4 linked regions of the Drosophila melanogaster genome follow. The protein of the gene in region 2 interacts with the protein of the main gene of each other region in a pairwise test. Each region holds a gene or a part of one and is shown on either strand. Other genes may lie near its edges.

Region 1 (6,441 bases), 1.1 Mb from region 2:
AGGGGATGTGCACCACGAACACTTGCCGTTGGTGTAATAAACTGAAGCGGCTGGTCTGGCACCGCAGACCCTCAGTTTTCGAGGTACCCTAATGATCGTTTCATGTTCAGTCTTCACTGAAGCCAAAATCGATTTCGGAGTCGGTCTGGTGCAAGAGCTTTGTAGTTTGCCCGCTGAACACAGCGGGCTCTTGCGAAAATTTTAGACGAGTGAGTTAGTGTATTCAATCTAACAAATTCTGGGAAATACATTATTGATTAGGGCAGCATGTTCCTTTAGAAGAGAAGTGCACATTTTGCACAGTGTAAGATCCAATCTACTCGGGTTCAGTGTAGGTACGTAAATTGCTCATAAATGAATACCTAAAAAATATAACATAACTAAAATGTAATTATCTTCGGTATAATATAAATAAGAACGTTGAAATTAGGCCGATAGATTGTAGGTGCAGTGTGTACTTAATTCAAGAAAAGGGCAACGCCCACTTCAACGTCCACAAGCTGCCTACTTTTGATATACGAATAATATTTTGGTTATTTTTAAAAAAGTTTTAATTTTATTTATTTAAAAATTTTTACTCTAACCAACAAACCAATAAATGCTCGCAAGTCAACAATTTCTTTTTTCTGATTTATGTATAATTTCTTTTCTGCAGATAAGCACAAGCCAACAAAGTAAAGAAAAAACACTTAAGTAACAGGTATCTGATAGTCGACATATATAAGCATATAAGCATATATATATATAACATATAAGCCTCCGCTTCCCATTAAAACCCAAACGGATTCTTTTCACACATAAACTACCCATAATGCTTTTATCAAAACTGTATTTGAGTTTTTGTTATCTATAGTCGTAGTTGAATACACTGTCACCTTACACGATCTTCTAAATCTAATGTAATGGACAATAATCCGACGACCCCTGCTTTGCTTGCTCAGAGCTCCTCGGTAAACGTGTTCCACGATGAATCACTGTTACCTCAGCGTAATGTAAAAACAAGTAAATCCCCCAATAAAAGCTAAGATATTCCGAGGGACTACAGCAATTTGCGATTTCATAGGTGAGAATGTTCCACCAACTTGTGCGGAGAAAACGTTGTTTGTGCTGTCCATGATTCTGATAGTCCTTTGCCTGCCGTGGTCCCTATTCTGCTGTCTCAGGGTAATGTCGGAGTACGAGCGAGCGGTAATCCTGCGCCTGGGTCGCCTGCGCCCTAAGCCCCCGAGGGGGCCAGGCGTCATCTTTCTCGTGCCCTGCATTGATGACCTCGCTGTTGTGGACATACGTACCAGGTCATTTGACCTACATAGACAGGAAATCCTCACTCGTGACATGGTGACGATCAGCATCGACGGAGTGGTGTACTACAGCATCAAGAGCCCATTCGACGCCATGCTGCAAGTATACGATCCGGAGGAGGCGACCGAGAAGCTAGCAATGACCACGCTGCGTAACGTGGCCGGCACCCACAAGCTAATGGATTTGCTCTCGTCCAAGGAGTACCTCTCCAACCAAATAGAGGGTATATTGTACAACTCCACAGAGCCCTGGGGCATACGCGTGGAACGGGTCGAGATGTAAGTACTTTTTGTCTTACAATGGATCAATAATGCGTTATGATATATTCGGCAGCAAGGAGATCTTCATGCCTGATCAACTGAAGCGCGCCCTGGCTGTGGAACAGGAGGCGATGCGTGAGGCCAAGGCCAAGGTGGCCGCGGCGCAGGGGGAGCGAGATGCGGTAACTGCTCTGAAGGAGGCTGCCGACATAATGGAGACCAACCCCATAGCCCTGCAGCTACGGTACTTGCAAACACTGAACTCCATCTGCAATGATGACACCCGGTCCTACGTCTTTCCTTTTCCTGTAGACATTGTGAGGAATTTGATGAAGTAGGATTGAATTCAGAAAATGCGTTCCGTTTTTATGTACGTTCCATATAAAAATTACTTACCTATTAAATAGAATTTAGTTCATCTGAAGAGGGGACCCAATCCGAAACATTTCTCTGGACACACAGTTTCGAAATCGTTTAACACCATATATTAGAAGCATACTACCATCTTACAGTAAATTAAATCGATATTTTCTAGCAGATAAGGGGAAATGCCCCAGTACTTTGCTTTAAATAAGCAAAAAAAAAACCGTAACTTCGATAATTGCTTGCCGGATGTACAAATTTCAGATGCTGTATTTATTTGGTCAAGGTGTATTGTATTGATACAATACTATTTTCAACTCAAGGCTCGTTATTAGCCACAAACTCAAAAGATTACACGTACTATACGACGTCACTGTCGTAGTATTTACTATTTGCTGTTTATATTTCATTTTAAAAAGACCAAATAATGTCCAATATTTGCCCCGGGACTTCGCTGCTGTCAGTTAGAAATCTCCAAAGCTTTTGTCAAAGAAAGCTATTTCATTCGATGTCTAAACCAACTCCCAGAAAAAACTTTGCCGAGTTTAATATGAGCTTTTGGATTTGCAGTTTGTACTTACATATATATTTCAACATATTTTCAATCTAATAACACAAAACCAGTCAGATCGTGCGCTTGAAAAGGAATTCAAATTTATAATCAATAATATAAGTGTGCAAAATTATTCAATGTTATTTTACCTGGGCTTAAAGAAAATCACTCGACTGGATGTCCAACATTAAGCAATCAGCAATCATTTTCTGCGGATGACCTGTGCCCACTTATTATTGATTGTTTTTGGTATTTCTATATTTTAATTATTTAATTCAATCCTAATGTAGGCGCCATAAGCCTTGGCCATGCAAATAGCCGACACACGAAACGCCATGAAATAAAAATTAATGAAGTTTGAAATTTGAACAGGGAAGAGCTGTAAACGAAGTACATTTCTGCGGCGTATCCAAAGAGTGCGCCAAAAAGCCGCGGACTCAGTGTAGATACCATTGCGTAACTCCGTGGGCCAAGACGCTCTTATCTTTTGTCTGCAAGATTAGGTCGGAGAAAAGCACCAGGAGTTGCCGATGCCCACAATTTGCTGATTGCGGGGGCGCCACAGCTCGTGTGAACGGGTGGCTTGCATAATAAGTCGATCATAAGTGTGATGCCGCAGTATTTGCGTACTCGTAACGGATCGGGGAAGAAACGCACGCCACACGGTAATTTGAAGCGATTGTGCTTCATCTTGGCCCGCACTGCCATTTGTGTTTTGATAAATCTCCAGTCATATATCAAATCGTCAGCACCACTTACCTGGCCCAACAGGGCCCCCAATTATGACCCATGCTATGACGGACATTGATTTAAGCATTAGGACTTGCCTTTTTTCGTCAGCTAAATGCTGAAAATATAATACAGAAAATACATATTATGTTATAGATCAAATTGTGCAACTATGTACCAATTACAATTTAATAATTGGGTCATCGGAAACCAAAGCAATTTCTGAAATTCATTAAGACATAGTGAAAAAGCGAAAGTTTTCCAGGTAGACGCCATTTTAAATGAGACTATTGTGTGATCAATGCAAGTTGCGATTCGAGATTTTGCGTTGCAAAGGTTCGTCAATTATGATCGGCCATCAACAGCAACAAATATCCACCATCATGATCACCTCAAAAGCTAGAGAAATGGATGTGCCAAACTAATCTCCACATTTGTATGTGTCCATCGCACAAGACTTCCAACTAGACGACGCTTTCGACTTGGCCCTAAGTTGAAGCTCGAGAGCTTTAGGGTTTTGGGTGAGTTCCCAAAAAGTTACCGTTACCTCAAGGTTGTATGAAAACGCAAGCGAGTTTTCGTGCGGCTTGAGCGTTTGTGGTTTCAGTTTCATTTAAACTTTGCGTTGCGGACACAACTTTTTCGTACCGACATTATCGAGTCAGCGACATAAAAGTCTGGGCGGCTAGTGATTAGCATTTAGTTGAATTTTGATTGCCAAGGGACCGGTGTCTTCAACTCAATCGGAAATGCATTTCTTCATTGTAAGCCCTCTAGTGTCAGCCGAGGTGTCCAAGCACCAATAGTAATGACTTAGTTTTATAGGTGCCGTGCCTCCTAGGACTTGCAGCCGGCATTCCTCAAGGATACAACTACCAAGCCCAGCAACAGCTTCAATCGTCGGCGCAAGCTGGTCAACTCCATCTGCCTTCTATTCCGCAGTTTGCCACCCTTGCGGAGCAGACGATCCTTCAGCAGGCACTCCAGGCTCCAAAGTTGCAGCAGGTCCTGACCGGAGGAGAAGGGCTCGCATCTTACTCAAATCAAAACCAGGCCTCCGCTTACCAACAGCAGGCGACGCAGTTCGGCCCAAATTCGGCGTACAATGCGCTGCCCCAGGCACATCAGCCTCAGCAGCAGCACCTCGTCTCCAAGGACATCTACGTCCATGTGCCACCAGCAGAAGAGCCCGAGGACCGCTACCCTCAGCCCGTCCTTCCGCCCGCGCCTCCGCGCAAGCATTATCGCATAGTTTTCATCAAGGCACCGACGACCAGTGTCTCGAAGGCGGCGTTGCGCATCAAACAGGCTCCTGTGGAGGAGAAGACCATCATCTATGTGCTGACCAAGAAGCCGGACCCACTAGATCTCCAGACTGCCATCGAGGAAATCGCGCCGAAGCAGCCCAGCAAGCCAGAGGTATTTTTCATCAAATACAAGACCCAGGAGGAAGCTGCGCATGCGCAACGTACCATTCAAGGTGAGCAACACCCGCATCGAGCAGATGCTATGAGACACACTTGAAGACCTCATCAGTATGCAACAGACCTCAAATGTTTCGATTTGCAAGCTTCATAGAAATGTCTATCGACCAATTAATCTGGCTTGTCCAAATTTTTATTACCCGATTTTTAACCGATTTACTTCTTTTAGCTCAATATGACCAGCTTGGCGGAACATCACAGGTTTCTGACGAGGGAGTTGCACCCGTTACATCCGTGATTGGCGTACTGGACAACCAGCGCAACAACGGAATTTCATCCGGACAGTTTTCTGGCTCCTTGCCAAACAGCTACTTGCCAACTAATCTGCGTGCTTAGGTACAACTCCAAGGCCACTGTCGTAATTTTAAGACTTGAACTCTTGTAATTTACACATTTAGTTAAATAAAGTTCATATTTTGAGCTCCGCCTTATGATAGAAAGCGACTCTGCAGCCATATTCAAATATGAAATCGAGTTTCAATACTTCAAAGTAACAAAATAGTTTTCTATGGACCATGTTACCACATCCATTAGTCCAATGACAGCCATCCAAGCCGAAAACCGGTCGCATAAATTAGCATGTGATTTGACTTACATAACAACGATTAAGCCACACGAAAACTTGATTATTATGGCTGTTGGCTTAATGCCAAAAGAGATGGTCCAAACTTTCTTGCGAGAAAGAAGTCATTGTCATAGTCTCTTAGCCCATTGAAACATTTTTGTGATAAAAATAAACAGCGTTTTCATAAGAAACATTAAACTCAAGCTATGCCTTAAATGAAAGATTAATTCCAAATCCTAAAACAAAACCTATCTAAAATATTAAAAGGATTAAACTTAAAAACGAGTACTAGAAACAGAAGGCTTTTTGGGTTTCGATTTAAATTTTTTTATATTTCTTTCGACTTTCGACTTTTGCATTAAAAATAAATTAAAATTTACTACAGTATGATGGTTGATATAAAACAATGAAAGCGATAGGATTCTTACTACAACTTTTTAAAAAGTCTTTGCCGGCACATACTTCCTTGATGGCGCCGAGGGAGCGAATGAGGAGGTGGACTTCTGCACAAAGGAGCTCTGCTGCTGGACCCCCTGGACCCCCTGGTTAATAGACTGCAGCTGAACAATGGGCTGACCCTGTGGCTGGATAATGGTTGGCGCCTGAGAGTGGATGATGGTTTGGCCAGCTTGGGAGTGCTGGGGCACAAAGCTGCCCAGGTTAAGGGAGCCACTCGAAACGCTGGCGATGGGAGCCACTCCCTCGTCCGAAATGTGGGTTGCACCTCCCAAGGCGTCGTACTGGGCCTGGATTTCCTGCTGGGCGCGCTGGGCCTCTTCCTGGGTCTTGTACTTAATGAAGTAGACCTCCGGCTTTTGAACCTTGGCCTCAGACTGGGTAACCTGCAGCTGCTGCTGGATCTCAGTGAGATCGGGCTTTTTAGAGAGCACGTAGATGACGGTCTTTTCCTCGTTGCTTGACTGGGCCCGCTTCAGGGCCGCGGCGGTATATTTCAGATTCTGGGAAGGCGCTTTAATGAAGACGATCCGGTAGTTCTTGCGGATGGGCACATTCTCCAGAAGTGGCTCGTCCTGCCGCAGTTCCTCATTCTCCTCGGGGGCGGAGTGGATGTAAATGTCCTTGGTAACGATAGCGGGGCGCTGGACGAACTGGGTCTGAAGGGCTTGCTGCGGTTGCTGCTGGTACACGATTTGCTGAGGCTGCTGCTGCACAGTGCTGATCAGG
Region 2 (4,815 bases):
TATGCTCGCGTTATCAGCGAGTTACCTTAGTGGAATAAAAGGTTGCCCTTCTTGGCGGCTATGGGCAAGCGGTCGCCCTGGAGGAACGGGTTTATGACCGCGTCGTCCAGCCGAGGATCGGGCATCACAGGATATCCGGCCTTCTTAGCCAGGCTGTTAACGTTGTTCAGGCTGTTCTCCTGGCCCATCTGCATGATGTACTGCTCCACGGCGGAGTTCAGGTCACCCTTGTCGCCGCCCACATCAGCACTATCCTGTTCCGAGCAGTCGAACATATGCTCGTTGTCGCAGGTACAGTCCTGAGCGGCCTGGAACTCCCGGCTGAAGATGGCCGTGTTTTCGAAGTCGACAATGCAGCTGCCGCCTTGCGTCTCCATGTCGTAGCCCTCAGGGCAGGGATTAGGAGGGTTGCAGTAGGCAGGCAGGCCGGCGTCGTTCTTCACTATAGTGGGATACCTGTTGGGACCCTCTCCCATTCCGCCGGAGATGAACTGGTGACCCCACAGCGAACTGTGCTGCAGAAACTCGTCATCCCGCAGCGAAGGATGGGAGGCAGCTCCCGATGCCGAGCCCGATTGCAGGATGCAGTCGCTTCCGCCGTCACACAGCCTCGCGTACTCCGACCGGGAGACCAGGTCCACGTTGTCCTTGGAGCCAGCGGCTGCCTCGTTGCCCACGTCGTAATAGCCCACCTGCATGTCTTTGTCCATGCGATTCAGCAGATCCGTCATCAAGACATCGGCAAGAATATCCTTGGCGCTATAGGACTGCACCTGGTAGCCACTCAAGGCGACCACGAGCATCGCCACCATCATGTACACACCTGGAAAAACATGGGCTATTCTCTTACCTCACCCACCTATAAATATTACTTCAGCAGACTTACTTTGCGAACGGAACAACATATTGCGATTCCAAGCGGTTTCAACCGTCCACGTCGAAGTTTGGTAAGGTATTGATTTTTCGGCGGCAGCTGCTCCGATTCCGTGTATATACTAACGTGACGTAGGGCTCTGTGCTTCGTGCGGCGGCTACCAGTTGAATTTGCGAAATATACGCAGATCCAATCGAAGCTGCCTTATGGCAGCCACAGCTGAAAGGACGCATGCGCCGTACTCGAAAGCTCTTTTATGTTGAAGCAGTCCTGTGGGGGGCCGAGAATTAGATTAGCGCCAAACTGCTGGAGCTGAGGTTTTCAGGCCTCTTTAAGCTTTATTAGTATAAAATGCTGGAAGAAAATAAGAAAACTTAGTCGCTAAGAAAACTTTATTTTCTTGAATTGTATGACTAGAGGTTTATGTTACACGGTAATACGCTATAAATTTCCATTCCCTCCTTAATTTAAAAGTATGAACTATAAAAAATGACTTGAAAGTAAAACTGAAGGAATTTTATTTTCAATAAATTAAAAATACACTTATAAAAAAATAACATTGAACCGATACTCCATTGTCGAATATTATGGTAGCGAAGTAGTAAACTGAACTACTCAATTATGATTTATTTTTTTGACCTTAGCATTTACTTAGAAAGAAGGTGGTAATAATTGAGGGTTAGGTTGCCAATTCGATGAAATCGAATTCATCCTGCATATATTTGGCAAGGCGCTTATGCGGTGCTGTTTTTGTATGGGCCACCAAGCCTCGGCGAGTTATAAAATCCATGTTGCAAGGCTCACACCTAAACGCAAAAAATACGATATTAAGACATATGACTGCGCAAGCTGACAAGCTTACCTGAACTTTCGGATTTGCTTTGAGTGTGTCGAAAAGTGGTTCTGCAATTCGGAAACGCTGCTGAAGATCATTCCGCATTCTAGGCATGGATAAGGTCGTTCGTTCTTATGGGCTCTAAAATGAAATTGGAAGTTGCATATAGTGCTGCGCTAGCATTCAATTCCCAGCCTCCTTACTTGTCGTGCCGCAACTTAGCGCCCAGAGACGCGAAAGCCTCGTGGCAGATGGTGCACTGGAACCTGCGGTTAATTAAATGAACCTGGGTGCGATGCTGCTTGAGAAGCGCCTTCTTGTTAAAAGTCTGTGGGCACTCAGGGCAGGGGAAGAACTGGTTCATATCCCGCCGGTTCTGGTGCCCATTTAAATGCTCGGTGTACAGGAACGCATCGTGGAACAGGGTTCCACACTCGTCGCAGATAAAGAAGTTACTGCGCCTCTTGGCGGCCCGCTCCATTTCCTGCTCCTGTAGATCCTCCTGCTGCGCCGCTTCTGCTGCCGCCTCTGCTGCCGCTATCACAGCGGCAGAGGGGTCGTCATCCAGCTCGATTTCCTCTAGGTCTTGGTGTTCCTCTTTCGTGCCTTGATAACAAACGTACTGGTCGTCATCGTAGTGCGTCTCCAATTGATCCGCATCGATCAGTTGCTCGTCCAGCGGCTCGGAACTAAGCTCAACGTGAACAGTGCTTTGATCACTGGTCTTCTTTATGATATCCAGCAGGTACTTTTGCGAGAAGATGCACCGCTCGCGGAACTTGGTGGCCAGGTCCAGCTCGGAGAAGCAGCGCTCGCAAACAATCTCCGGCAGCCCCTGGTTTCTTGTCAGCTGAACAAATTCCAGGTAATAACAATTGTTGGCGCGGTCGGAAGCTGACATAACGACCTACCTCCACTCCCGTGATTAGCTTCAGTTGACCCAAATATTTTCCCCGCATGTGAATGAATATGTTGCGATCTCGCTGGTGGCCCATAATTTTGTTGGCGCAAATACGGCAAACGTCGGCGAGGTTCATTGTTTATCAAGTTAATGTGTTTACTTTTAGCATAAAACGCAGCGACGGAAAGTGTTACCAGATCATAAAACAGTTGGAAAAACGACAGTGCTTAATCGATTTGTTATCGGTGAATCCGATAGTCAGATACATTTTTATAGCGCAAAAAGATTTTTTATTCATTTGATTTTATTAATAGTTAAAACGATACAACATGCGCTTGTTTAATTTAGGTTAGAAGCTTGTAAATCCAAAAAGAACCATTAAAATTAAAAAATCAAATTCGATGCCCAACAATGCCATTGTTAACCAACATAGCCCCTGCAGCCAGTGATATACAATTTAAGTTAGTTTCGTTTTGTAAACTACTCCATCTATTATAATAAATAATTAGTTAAATTGTGAGATTCGTTTTATTTGCCGACTAACGATATTTTTGGGAATTGAACATGGGCGAAAATAGCGAATAACGAGCTAATCAATCGAAAGATTTCACACCCCTAGTTGCGCGCCATAATTTTTTGTGATATTTGCAAACGTTTTGAAGATATTTGCAGTTCACAAAGTACTTAAATAATCCGTGAAGGTCCTGTGCGCGAACCAAGACATTGAACATGTCCACCGAAGCGAGTGTGGCTTCCAAATGGACGCGCCCAGATGACGTGGGTAAGGACTCGGAGGAGCACCTGCCCGCCACTAATGTTGTTGTTTCGTTTTCCAGTTCATCAAACTGCAGCGGCTCAAGCAGAAGAAGAACAAATTGGCAGCCCGCGTGAGCAACAACAACAATAGGCGGCCAAGACACCAAGTGGATGAGACGGATAAAAGCAAGCTACTGGAGGCTAAGCTCGCCCAGAAGCGAAAAAATCCGTTTGCGAAGTGAGTTTCCCTCTCTCTCGCTCTCCCCAAAATCCAATTACTGACTCCCTGCCTCAGATCCACAGCTGATGCCAAGAAACTGCGCGTTGATCCGCAACTGGCGGACCTCGAACCAGTGGTCACTGCCTCCTCCTGCTTTGTGCGGGAAACGCCCACGCGCCCGGCGCCCGCCAAATTCGTGCTCCAGAAGTACGACCCGCAGGCCTTTGCCAAGCTCTTCCAGCATCCCCAAATCAACGCTGAGGACGAGGACGATGCGGAGTTGGCCGCCCGGCAGAAGCACACCGCCCACCTACCTGTGGACTGGTCCCTGAAGACGCGAGCCCGTTTCTTCTGTCCCACGGAACTGCCTGCCATCCAACTGAAGACCTCGCAGCTGGCCAGCGGACTCACCAGCTTCGTGCGCTGCATGGACCCGCAGCGAACGGAGAGCACGCTGGATATCTCGGACGCAACGCGGTTCAACCAATGCAATTACTACTGGCAGCACCCGCACCTGCCCTGGCTGACGCTCTACCCGCGCACCGCCAAGGAGAACGTGGGCGTGGTGGTGGGTGAGCGGGAGCGCAAGGCCCTGGCCGAGGAGTGGGACTTCAGCTTCCGGGGCCTATTTCAGCTGCTGCGTGCCCGCCAGTGCCCGTACTTCTACCTGTGTGCCAACACTTTTACGGTGCTGTTCCGAGCTGCCGGAGTTGGCGGTCGGCCGGAGAGCCACGCCTTGGTCACGCCGTCGACTCGGGGAATGCGGCAAGCTCTGCGACAGGAGGGGATCGAGTTCAGCATGCCTCTTAAGAGCGATAACAGTGGAAACGCGCACGACAACAGTTTTAACGAGGAGAGCACTACCACCTCGCTAGGTCCAGAAGCGGGCGAAGATGCTCCTCCGCCGGCACAGGAAGATGAAGACGACGACGAGGACTGGCTGGAGAGCTTGGGCGTGGATGAGCGTGAGCTGCGACGTATCCAGTCCTCCCATGCCAGGAAGCAACAAGCTGCCGAAATGCGAGAGGACTTTAGCGACAACTCCTTGCTGCTGGTCGATGGCGTGGAGTGCCAGGGATTCTTTAGCTATCTGCTAAATGCCAAGAGTGCCATCAGCACAGTGGGCCGTCTGGCCGGAGTGCCTCCCACTCTGCTGTCGCCAGTGGCCTTCCCCAAGGCCACCATGCAGCACTTGGTTCCGCGGTCCAAGAAAGTGCGTCTGGATGGCG
Region 3 (5,634 bases), on a different chromosome or scaffold from region 2:
ATGGCTAAGATCAATTGAGCGTAGCGAGAATAGGGTTTGAAAAACTCCATTAAATATACTGGAGATGTTATTGTGCGAGACATCGATGGTGTGCAGTTCATAGAGCTTTGGAAAACAATTTTTGGGTATTTCGGTAATGCTATTGTACGAGGCATTCAAGACTTTCAAGCCAGTCATATTTTGAATGGGAATCTGTGCCAAATTGGTAAGATTGTTGTAGCTCAGCTGAAAATAGGTCGCGAAAGTGGTCTCATCGAAGCTGCGACGCGAAAAGTTGGCCAACCGATTGTGAGACAAGTCAAGAACCGTGATGTTTACACAATTTTCAAATGCAGCTGTTTCAATGAGTTCCAAAGCGTTATGCGATACGTTTATGATAGCCTGGTAAATATCCTTGAAAGAGTTCTTTTCAATCTTGGTTATGTTGTTCTCCGCCAAATCGAGCAACTGAAAAGCAGCAATTAGTTAAATTTTTCAAATTTTATATTAGCAATTGTACCTCCACATAGTTCATCTGGGTAAACATCTGGAACTCGATCTTCTTAAGACGGTTGCGTGCAAGATCAATAGTTCCAATGCGGGCAATTGAGCCGAAAGTACCACGACCAATATCCGTGAGCACATTATCGCTGAGGAAAAGACGACGGAGGAAACGCATACCCCTAAAACTATTCGCATCTAGGCGTGCAATCTGGTTGTGGGACAAATGGAGCACCTTCAACACAGAGTTTCTGGCAAAAGTTCCGCGACTAAGTTCGCTTAGGGCATTATGAGAAACGTTGCACCATCCCAGCTTTGTCAGATCAGCTATGTGCTGTGCCTCCAGCTTTTTGATCTGGTTGTGACTTATATCCAAGACCTCCAACTCTCTTAGATTCTTAAATTGGTTTCGTTTCAGATTCTCCAATTGATTTCCATGCAAGTCGAGCGTTTTTAGTTTCCGCAATGGCTGGAAAGTCTCAATAGGCAGATCACTTAGGTTACCATTGGTCACACGTATGATTCCCAGACTATTGGCGATCTCTTGGCCAGCAAATAGATCCTTGGGTAGCTGTTGGAACGCATGGCCATCGATTACGAGTTCCTTAGCTTTTCCTAGAATCTGAAAAAAGAATTTCCCGTTTAGATAACGATGGTATCGGTATATTGTTTAATTCTTACGCCGAATCCTAGTAAACCAACGTGGCTTAGATTTGTGCGAAGTAAATGCAGTTGCTCCAAAGTATTATTTACTCCATAGAAAACATAATCCTCAATGGTGGCCAATGGTGTTTCTTCTATGATCAGCATTCGTGCTTTGATATGAGCAAATAGTGGCCCATATAGACGAACTAGAAAGAGAATTTGATTCTTCAGCTTAACAGACTAAAAGGACGTGTAGAAGTACACACCGAAATGTCCTCTGTAGATGGTCAACTCCTCGATGGGCATACCAAAAGAGGCCAAATTCTGAAGGGCTACGGATAAGGTAGCCAAGTTTGTATTTTCGCACCGAATGTAGAGGCCATTATCGCTGCCCTTCACACATTCGCAGGGGTACAAGGCCTTTGATCTGATTTGAAAAAAAAACACCATATAAGTGAAGAAATATGTAATATACAATATTTGGAATAACTCACTTTTTTGGACACTTGAATTCGGGTTCGCCATACACATATTCCGAACTGGCTAGGGCAATGAAGTGCAGCAAAACGAGAGTGCGCAGGCGTAGCTGAATCATGTTTTAATGATTTCGTCACCGTTTTAATTTAGTTTATCCCATGGCCCAAAACCAAGTTCGCTGCTCAAGTCTTTTGTGTGGGCTTCGATTTCCTGAAACTTATAGTTCTTTGTTTAACGATGTTCCGCTTGAATGAGGTGGGTTTTTTTTTGGGATGTGGAGTAAAGTTAACTTGTCTTATCAACGAACAAAGGTAAATGGTTTCTTCTACTTTTACTTTTCGCTCTGCTGGCGCAACAGGTTTTCATGGGCCGCTCTTGTGCGCTCTTTGTGACCAGCACTTTGGAGCTCTAATTGAATTAATGCCAACTATATTAACTGCTCCCGAAAGTCAGAGCACTGTGAACCACAGTTTCCACTTCGGTTCCCCCATTTATTCCGCGGTTTTAACATATTTTTATTTATTTTACCCTTGGCGCACAATACAATCGATAGATTTCGGGCGAGTTGGCAGCCCCGTTGAACCATCGCTTCAGACAATCGGCATCCCAAATATCGAATCAGCCGCACACGCTAATACAACCCTGTTGTGACATCTCGCTCGTTGGAAAAGCAAAAACCAGGCGCAAAATAAATATAATTTGCTAACGTTACTCTACAATTATCTTTGTACAATCGCACAAGCAAACGTAAGTACCAAAAGACAAACGAACGCAACGAACCAAATGGCCAATTCAAAGCGCGCACTTTTTGGCATTTTGCAATTGAAATGAGTGGGCATTGTTCACGTTGCTCGCCTCGTCGACAGGGAGAAATACTGACTTCGCCCGTTTTAGCCGCCATCGCGACTGCAGCCAATCACGGGCCGCGCTACACACACGCGGCAGAAAATCCGTGTACATACACGTCTGAGCGCTGTGGTATTGGTGGCCGGGGAGAACGCGAGTTACTCGCTGCATAGAGTAGCCCACTATGTGTTTATTGCGCGGCAAAAGTGCGTTAATCGGTTAAAGCCGCTACTTACATTCTGTTCTTTGCATCTCCCCCATCCACAGCTATAAAGCAAGATGAGCTACGCCGCTGATGTGCTGAACTCGGCCCATTTGGAGCTCCATGGTGGTGGCGACGCCGAGTTGCGTCGTCCATTCGATCCCACGGCCCATGATTTGGATGCATCCTTCCGCCTTACACGCTTCGCAGATCTAAAGGGGCGCGGCTGCAAAGTGCCGCAGGATGTGCTCTCCAAGCTGGTGTCCGCCCTGCAGCAGGACTACTCTGCCCAGGACCAGGAACCGCAGTTTCTCAACGTGGCCATTCCCCGCATCGGTATTGGCCTGGACTGCTCCGTCATTCCGCTGCGACACGGCGGACTCTGCCTGGTGCAGACCACCGATTTCTTTTACCCCATTGTCGATGATCCCTACATGATGGGCAAAATTGCGTGCGCCAATGTGCTCAGCGATTTGTATGCCATGGGAGTCACAGATTGCGATAACATGCTGATGCTGTTGGCGGTCAGTACCAAGATGACAGAGAAGGAGCGTGACGTGGTCATTCCGCTGATAATGCGAGGCTTTAAGGACTCCGCTTTGGAGGCAGGCACCACTGTGACTGGAGGCCAGAGCGTGGTCAATCCGTGGTGCACCATTGGTGGGGTTGCCTCGACCATTTGCCAGCCAAATGAGTATATTGTGCCAGATAATGCCGTGGTAGGGGATGTACTGGTGCTAACCAAGCCACTGGGCACCCAAGTGGCCGTGAATGCCCACCAGTGGATTGACCAGCCGGAGCGCTGGAACCGCATTAAGCTGGTGGTGTCCGAAGAAGATGTACGCAAGGCCTACCACCGGGCGATGAACTCTATGGCTCGCCTCAACCGCGTAGCCGCTCGCCTCATGCACAAGTACAATGCCCACGGAGCCACCGATATTACTGGATTCGGACTACTAGGCCACGCTCAAACCCTGGCTGCACATCAGAAAAAGGATGTCTCCTTTGTTATCCACAATCTGCCGGTGATCGCCAAGATGGCTGCAGTGGCCAAAGCCTGCGGCAACATGTTCCAGCTGCTGCAGGGCCACTCGGCGGAGACCTCGGGAGGATTACTGATCTGCCTGCCGCGAGAGCAGGCCGCTGCTTATTGCAAGGACATCGAGAAGCAGGAGGGCTACCAGGCCTGGATCATCGGCATCGTTGAGAAGGGCAATAAGACCGCACGCATCATCGACAAGCCCCGCGTCATTGAGGTGCCCGCCAAGGACTAGGTCTCCATTGCCTGACCATCTGCTATTGTCTACCTTAAGTATCTTAATATTAACGTAACGGCTGCTACATTCAGTTGTAACCGGCATGATCGGTCTTTGTTTTTTATAAAAAAGCTTATCAACTACAGATTCACTGATCATTATAATCTTGGACGTCTCTACTGCAATACGAGTGAATAAAATGAAAACACTTGAATCTTTTGTATCGAGTAATTGGAATGCGGGGCATCTGAATGAGCTTTTTCCAGTCAACTTTGTTATTAAATTACAGCTCACAGTTTGGCAAAAAGTGGAGCATCTTCGGAATCGCATACATTTTGAACAGTTGTGTGTTGAGAATTTAATCGACTTATTTAACCCACTAAATAAGTTGTAGAAGTCACATTTATTTTTGTTTAGTTAGTGCACCTGCGCTTTGAGGCTAAAAACTCAGCTGGTGTAAATTTTAAATTTGCTTGCTGATTTTAGTTTACAGTCGCATGCTTATGAAATCAGCACGCGTTTTGAAAGTCAAATTGTTGGAGGTTTAAGTGAATTTTAATCGTTAAGCTTTGTTTCGCAGTTCAAACTTGGGAGCGGGTTATCAGGAAAGTAATTGTCAAGTACCAAGCCAGCAAAAAGAAGTGTCATGTATCTCATTTAGATACGTGTGCTGATAGTACCTTCAGATAGTTTAAAACATGTTTGAGTACAGGAATATTCTTACTAAAAATATGATCATTTTGAACTGAACTTCATTTGAAAATTAATTGGTTATGATAAGTTTGAGAGTGAATTTCGGAAACATGGACATTTAAAGAGACATTTAAAGGACGTTGATTTGTTGAGGAGAATTTAGCATGGGTTATCAGATACCCTAACCTCCTAACCTCTATTGTTCGATCAATCGGCATTAGTTGCGGAGAGCGAAAAGCTTTGCAAGCTCTAAAAACCAAAACCGAGCGAGAGATGCTCTCGTGCGAACAGGTCTCCGGCAAGTTGCCATCGGATGGGATCGGATCGCACTGGTGGGGATCGGGATCGCTGGTGGCAAGTGCGGATCGTGGGCCTCAGTACCGCCCGAGCTAGCGACGCGTTAAGATCCGCATCCGAATCGTAAACACAACGAGAAACTTACACTGCGCGCACCGTTACACTTTTGTGCTGGGAGCGATCGAACACTAATACACTGACCAACGAATTTCCCGCACAACGAAGAGATTTTCCCTCCCCAATTGAACTGTACTTGGACGTACGTTGCGTTTTTGGAGTTTTGGAAAAGTGCACAGTGAGTGCTGCAAGTATTTGTACATACAGAGCCACATAGCGATACAAACGTCGATAGATAGAAAGATACATATGTAGATAGTGTGTGGGCTGTTGGGGCTCTTTGCTGTTCGGTGTTTGGTGTTTGGAAGACGAGCTCAAAAACCGCAGTTAGAAACTAGTTTTCCCTACGTGTCGTGGTCGTGGTCGCAGTGGCAGTGGCAGTTGCTGTAGTCGCTGCCTTACATGAACGTGGAAGTACTCGCTTTTTGAAGTGAAATTCGAAAACGCATCCTCCTCGACCATGTAGCGATGTATCTGGCGGATCGCTATTCCTTGTGTATCTCTTCGTGGCCAGATGATTCATGTACGGTGGGCACTCGTACGTACACTCGATTTATTTCCCGACGGAACGGCGCAGTATTCAAATTGAAAGAACAGTGGCAGTGAACTAAAAATAGAATT
Region 4 (4,495 bases), on a different chromosome or scaffold from region 2:
GATAGCTCCAATTGATGATTCTCTGGAGGATGTGTCAGATTCCGCGCATATTCCGCCCTTTGACGGCTCCGTTGGCAAACTAAACCGATCCGCTGGCAGTTGAGGCGTTTTAACCATCAATACTTCTCCTCTCCACATATCAATTGGCCTCGTCGGAATTTGTGTTGTTCTTTTTTTTTAGTCGGCACATTTATCAACGATAATATACCTATGACTGCGATGAGGAGGGCAATGCCGCCAATCAGTCCCCGATTAGATAGTGCCTTTCGCGAATAAACTCGGGACCCGATTTAGGAGACCATGACAGAAACGCAGCGCACCAAAGAATTCCGGATCGGCTGTATTCCGGAGTTCCAAGTACCTGAGATCACGATACGTCTTTTTCGCATGCGTCAATCCTAAAGATATATGCGTTCCCATCTCCCATCATTCCGAGCAACCCAATGTTTTCAGTTGATTCATAATGTGGTTCCTCCTAGCTACGCGAACCAGTTTCTTGGTTTTTAGATAACTAATCAAGAATTATTCTATATGATTTATAATCTATTCACTTTCTTTATCTTAGCACTGCTTACTCTATGTAGTCCTTAGTATCCATTATTGCGAAGATCAAGGATTTGATTTCAATGTACATAAGGAATTCCTTTACTTAGTTCTTGCTCCACAATTAGCTAATTTCATAAACTTGCTTCTCCAAAATGTAAATTATAACTTAATGCTTTCAAGATTTCTAGATGACTGCCGCGCTTTCGGGACATTTCTGAGTGAGTCAGAGCTCGAAACTCACAACCCCGACTCAGAAAAGTGCTCCAGCTCACATTAGCACTGTGTTATCAGCTATCAGTGTGCTAAATAATAAGTCATTGCCGAATGAAAACATTGTAAGTACACACACTAGATTGCAATTGCCTCCACCGCCACTATTGTGTGTTTCCATCCACTCTGCGCCACTTGGAAGGGGATTTGCTGTGTGGAACTGGAACGAATGCCTGACTAATTGCGAAATGTTTGCCGGGAAGACTTCCCAGGAATTCTCGAAGAGACCGGCAGACACGTCCCAGTCGTTGGAGCCGAGCTCGCCGTGATTCGATGTTTGTCACATAATTGTTTAATTGCACGTAGGGCAGATGGAAGTGGATATCGATCATGTCGAAAACCATATACGAATACATCACCCAATGGGCACAGCCATTTGCAGTCATTCTGCAATCACTTTAGCACTTTTGACAAACCAACCATCGCCTAAGATTATGCTACGTCTATTTAAGGAATCCACAAGTTGGAGGGCAGGTGAGTGCAGATCTCATGGAACTGTTTGGGATCCAATTGACACGAGTATATGTTGTATGATAAGAGAGTTGCCAAAGTTGACTGGGTGGCGGGGCAAGCCTCTACAGATACTTTCATGATTAGATAAACTAGCTGGGGGATATAAAATGAATTAAACTGTAAATATTAATGAGTGTGTAGTCATTATAATTATACTTTGCTCAATATCCCTGCAATAACACGGTTTCTCCCTACTATGAAGTCATTGACTTTCTGTTCCCTGGGGGCGTTGCTTTTGTCGGCTTGATCCACTCTTTCTTTAATCCCCATTCAGCGGTCTAATAGAGTGGGGAACTGGTTTCCCGATCCAGAAATACTCCAACGGGTGATGTAACAGAGAACTCCACATTTTGTTGTATCAGACGACTCGTAAACATGTCTACGACACACGACCTATAACGGAACCCAAAAACCATGAGTCCCACCCAAACGAAAAAGTTCCTAACCCATTAATCGCACACCGAAAGAAATAGTCGAGCATTAAGAATAGGAAACCAAGAGGCAGAGGCTGATTTGCTTTGTAGCGAGATGGAGAAATACATTCGTAAAAAGTAAAGATAAGTTCTAAAGACGGAAACTCAACGATAATACAATAAGTTCAAGGGCACATATTTCCAAAAAATTTGTTGCCAACTCAAGAGCTTTGCTGAATATTTTTTTGTTCAGTGGCATGACCAACCTTCATCTGCATTCAAATGTCGTCATATATCAAGCAGCAATATCGCGGGATATTGAACTCTTCGAATTCATTTGGAAAAATGCAGGGCTGGCAGAACGATCATGGAAGTGGAATGAGAAGTGGAAAGATCCCACAAAGCCCCTACAAGCATTTATATCATATGCAAATTAATGAGCGCAGTTATTAGAACGGTGCTTGATCGATCCGAGATCGAGATCGAGTTCGAGCTGGAGCTGGAGCTGGGGATGGAGATGGAGATGGACACAGAAGAAAGAAAGGCATCCCAAATTTGGGCCACTGCATGGGTTATTCTAATGAGGAAACCGGGAACGAGATCCCACACATCTCATCACAGATGCACCGCGTATAAAAGGGCAATGCAACTGGAGTGGTCAGGTTATTCCGAGAGAGATCATGGATCGGAGAGTGACTGCGATTGGTTTGGGTGAGTACGGACGATCGGCTGCCTAGAAAGAGTGACACATCCTTTTCAGTTATCCTGCAGCTGCTGGTCAGCGGCCTCTGTTTCCAGGAGAAGGCGCCACTGCAGACGAGCCTGGTCAGCGGACAGGCCAGGACCGAAAAGCAGCAACAGGTGCTGGACGATCCGCTGGGAAGTGGACGCGGGATTGACGAGCACCTGCTGAAGACCATTGGTAAGGGCGGCATCAAGCTGGTGATGGCCTCGGGAGCCCCGTCGACCACCCCGAAACCGTCAGTACAACACCATTACTATTATCCACCAGAGGATCAGCAGCACCCACGGCAGTATGGCTATCCACCGCAGTGGTCGCCAGGACCGCCCGCTTATCCGCCGCCACCGCAGCGTCCTTGGGGGCCACCCCCTCCGCCCGGACCACCGCCGCCAGGACCTCCTCCTCCGCCGGGACCCTACTACAATCCCTACTACAATGGCTACAACTACTACGGCGGATATGGCGGCTATGGATATGGGGGCTTTGGATATCCCGGCTTTGGCGGCTATTCTGGCTATCCCTACTATCCCTTCTATCGCTCCTCGACGGCTGGCGAGGTCGATAACCAACTTCCCGGTGCCGATGGACTCACTTCCGCCGCCATTCCTGGCGTTTTCCAGGGCAGGGCCGTGCTGTCCCACCAGAACTTCCTCGACGGCAGGAACAACGCTAACGTTGTGCCACTTTATCACCTACTCCAAATGGCCAGGGCTTGAAGTACTCTAATCCAATCATTGATTAAAACTTAATAAATTGTGTACCATGTATATTCCGAGTAACCGCGTGATGCATTGTAGTTCTTACTTATCATCGCATGCGTTCTAGTTTATAGCCCTATTCAATATCTAATCGATTCTGACTGGATAAATGTTTAAAGAAATCGTCCAACTGAAAGCCCATAATAGTAGAAACAGAATTGCAGAAAGGAGAAAGGCAGAAGGTGTTTCTATTAATCCACTCGAGATTGACGATTACTTAAACCCTGATAATAGCTTTGCCAGATCATCCAACTGAATGGATCGTTAGATTATAAAGAACCCAGTTGAGGCCGCTGACCGAGAGTAAAGATGATCGAATTCGTTCAAACGATCGTCATCATCGTCATTTCTCGCACCCGCAAAGACTGGAAATTCAAATTCAAACTGGGCAAACTTATCGAGCCGGTTGCAAATACATATGTATATAAGAGAATCTGGACGCTCGGTTGCTGAGTCACCCGCTTTTAGGGACGAGTCTTCTGGGCACGAGGAGATCTCGAGGAGATCACGCCGCCATTGTGACGCATGCCAAGTGCCTGGGTCTCGGTCTCGGATAACCATTAAGTATTAAACAATCACTGGGGCCCGCTGTTTTCTTAGCTCACTGCGAGCCATAAAAAGCGTCAACAGCTGAGGCCGATCTTGAACGCGATTTACTGCCAATTGCAAAAAAAAAAGAAAAAATCTGCTGAAAGAGCTGCCCAAAAGCGTTTCGTTTTGTTTCGTTTTTGCCTTTCCTACTGTTTTGGCCGCTTCAAAACAGACTTTTTGCTCGTACTCACGTCGAATAAGAGTTTGGAGTTTGGGATTGGGGCTTCCACGAAAAGCCCTTACTTGGCACTTTACCGAACCTGAGCAAATCCGAGGTGCGATGTAATGGTGATCCCAACACGAGCTCACTCAAGCTCACTCCTCCGTCGAAAGAAATGGAATGGAGTGGAAGTGCTGGCTCCGTGTTCTTGGTTCCTCGCCAGTCGAACTTTATGACTAGTGGGGATTTTTGCTATAATTGTACTTGTGCCATACAATTGATTGAATGGGGCATATTGCCACATGGCCAATTACCGCTTTATTAAGGTGGATCAGCAGTTTCTCAGCCAGGATACTACAGATAATAGTAGAATGCCGTCAATATTTGTAATTTAAAAGGTGAAAATGAATCGTAACTTCTTTAAGAGATCGTATCTTATACATCTTTAAAGAACAATGTCTGAATGAATCCATTCACTAGGTAAGACCAGGTCATTCTCTAC

Evidence for each region.
Region 1: the proteins of CG14667 (region 2) and TwdlG interact in a two-hybrid assay, tested with the Drosophila melanogaster proteins (one large-scale study listed by BioGRID).
Region 3: the proteins of CG14667 (region 2) and Sps1 interact in a two-hybrid assay, tested with the Drosophila melanogaster proteins (one large-scale study listed by BioGRID).
Region 4: the proteins of CG14667 (region 2) and CG9184 interact in a two-hybrid assay, tested with the Drosophila melanogaster proteins (one large-scale study listed by BioGRID).

Annotation. Positions count from the first base shown.
Region 1 is NT_033777.3:4,247,437-4,253,877, reverse strand, and holds TwdlG (TweedleG), read left to right. Parts: upstream 1-2,536; 5' UTR 2,537-3,143; intron 3,144-3,363; 5' UTR 3,364-3,956; coding exon 3,957-3,971; intron 3,972-4,032; coding exon 4,033-4,687; intron 4,688-4,860; coding exon 4,861-5,027; 3' UTR 5,028-5,155; downstream 5,156-6,441. Other genes in the region: CG14644 (uncharacterized protein), read left to right, coding at 903-1,002, 1,064-1,580, 1,636-1,900; TwdlF (TweedleF), read right to left, coding at 5,694-6,441.
Region 2 is NT_033777.3:5,373,022-5,377,836, reverse strand, and holds CG14667 (uncharacterized protein), read right to left. Parts: upstream 2,816-4,815; 5' UTR 2,747-2,815; coding exon 2,621-2,746; intron 2,560-2,620; coding exon 1,913-2,559; intron 1,851-1,912; coding exon 1,737-1,850; intron 1,681-1,736; coding exon 1,554-1,680; 3' UTR 1,377-1,553; downstream 1-1,376. Other genes in the region: 7B2, read right to left, coding at 27-838, 887-905; hd (humpty dumpty), read left to right, coding at 3,340-3,387, 3,447-3,604, 3,662-4,815.
Region 3 is NT_033778.4:14,267,256-14,272,889, reverse strand, and holds Sps1 (selenophosphate synthetase 1), read left to right. Parts: upstream 1-2,231; 5' UTR 2,232-2,727; coding exon 2,728-3,924; 3' UTR 3,925-4,118; downstream 4,119-5,634. Other genes in the region: conv (convoluted), read right to left, coding at 1-447, 500-1,102, 1,162-1,331, 1,392-1,552, 1,620-1,720.
Region 4 is NT_037436.4:1,320,710-1,325,204, reverse strand, and holds CG9184 (uncharacterized protein), read left to right. Parts: upstream 1-2,398; 5' UTR 2,399-2,422; coding exon 2,423-2,453; intron 2,454-2,502; coding exon 2,503-3,200; 3' UTR 3,201-3,413; downstream 3,414-4,495. Other genes in the region: Myo61F (myosin 61F), read right to left, coding at 576-634.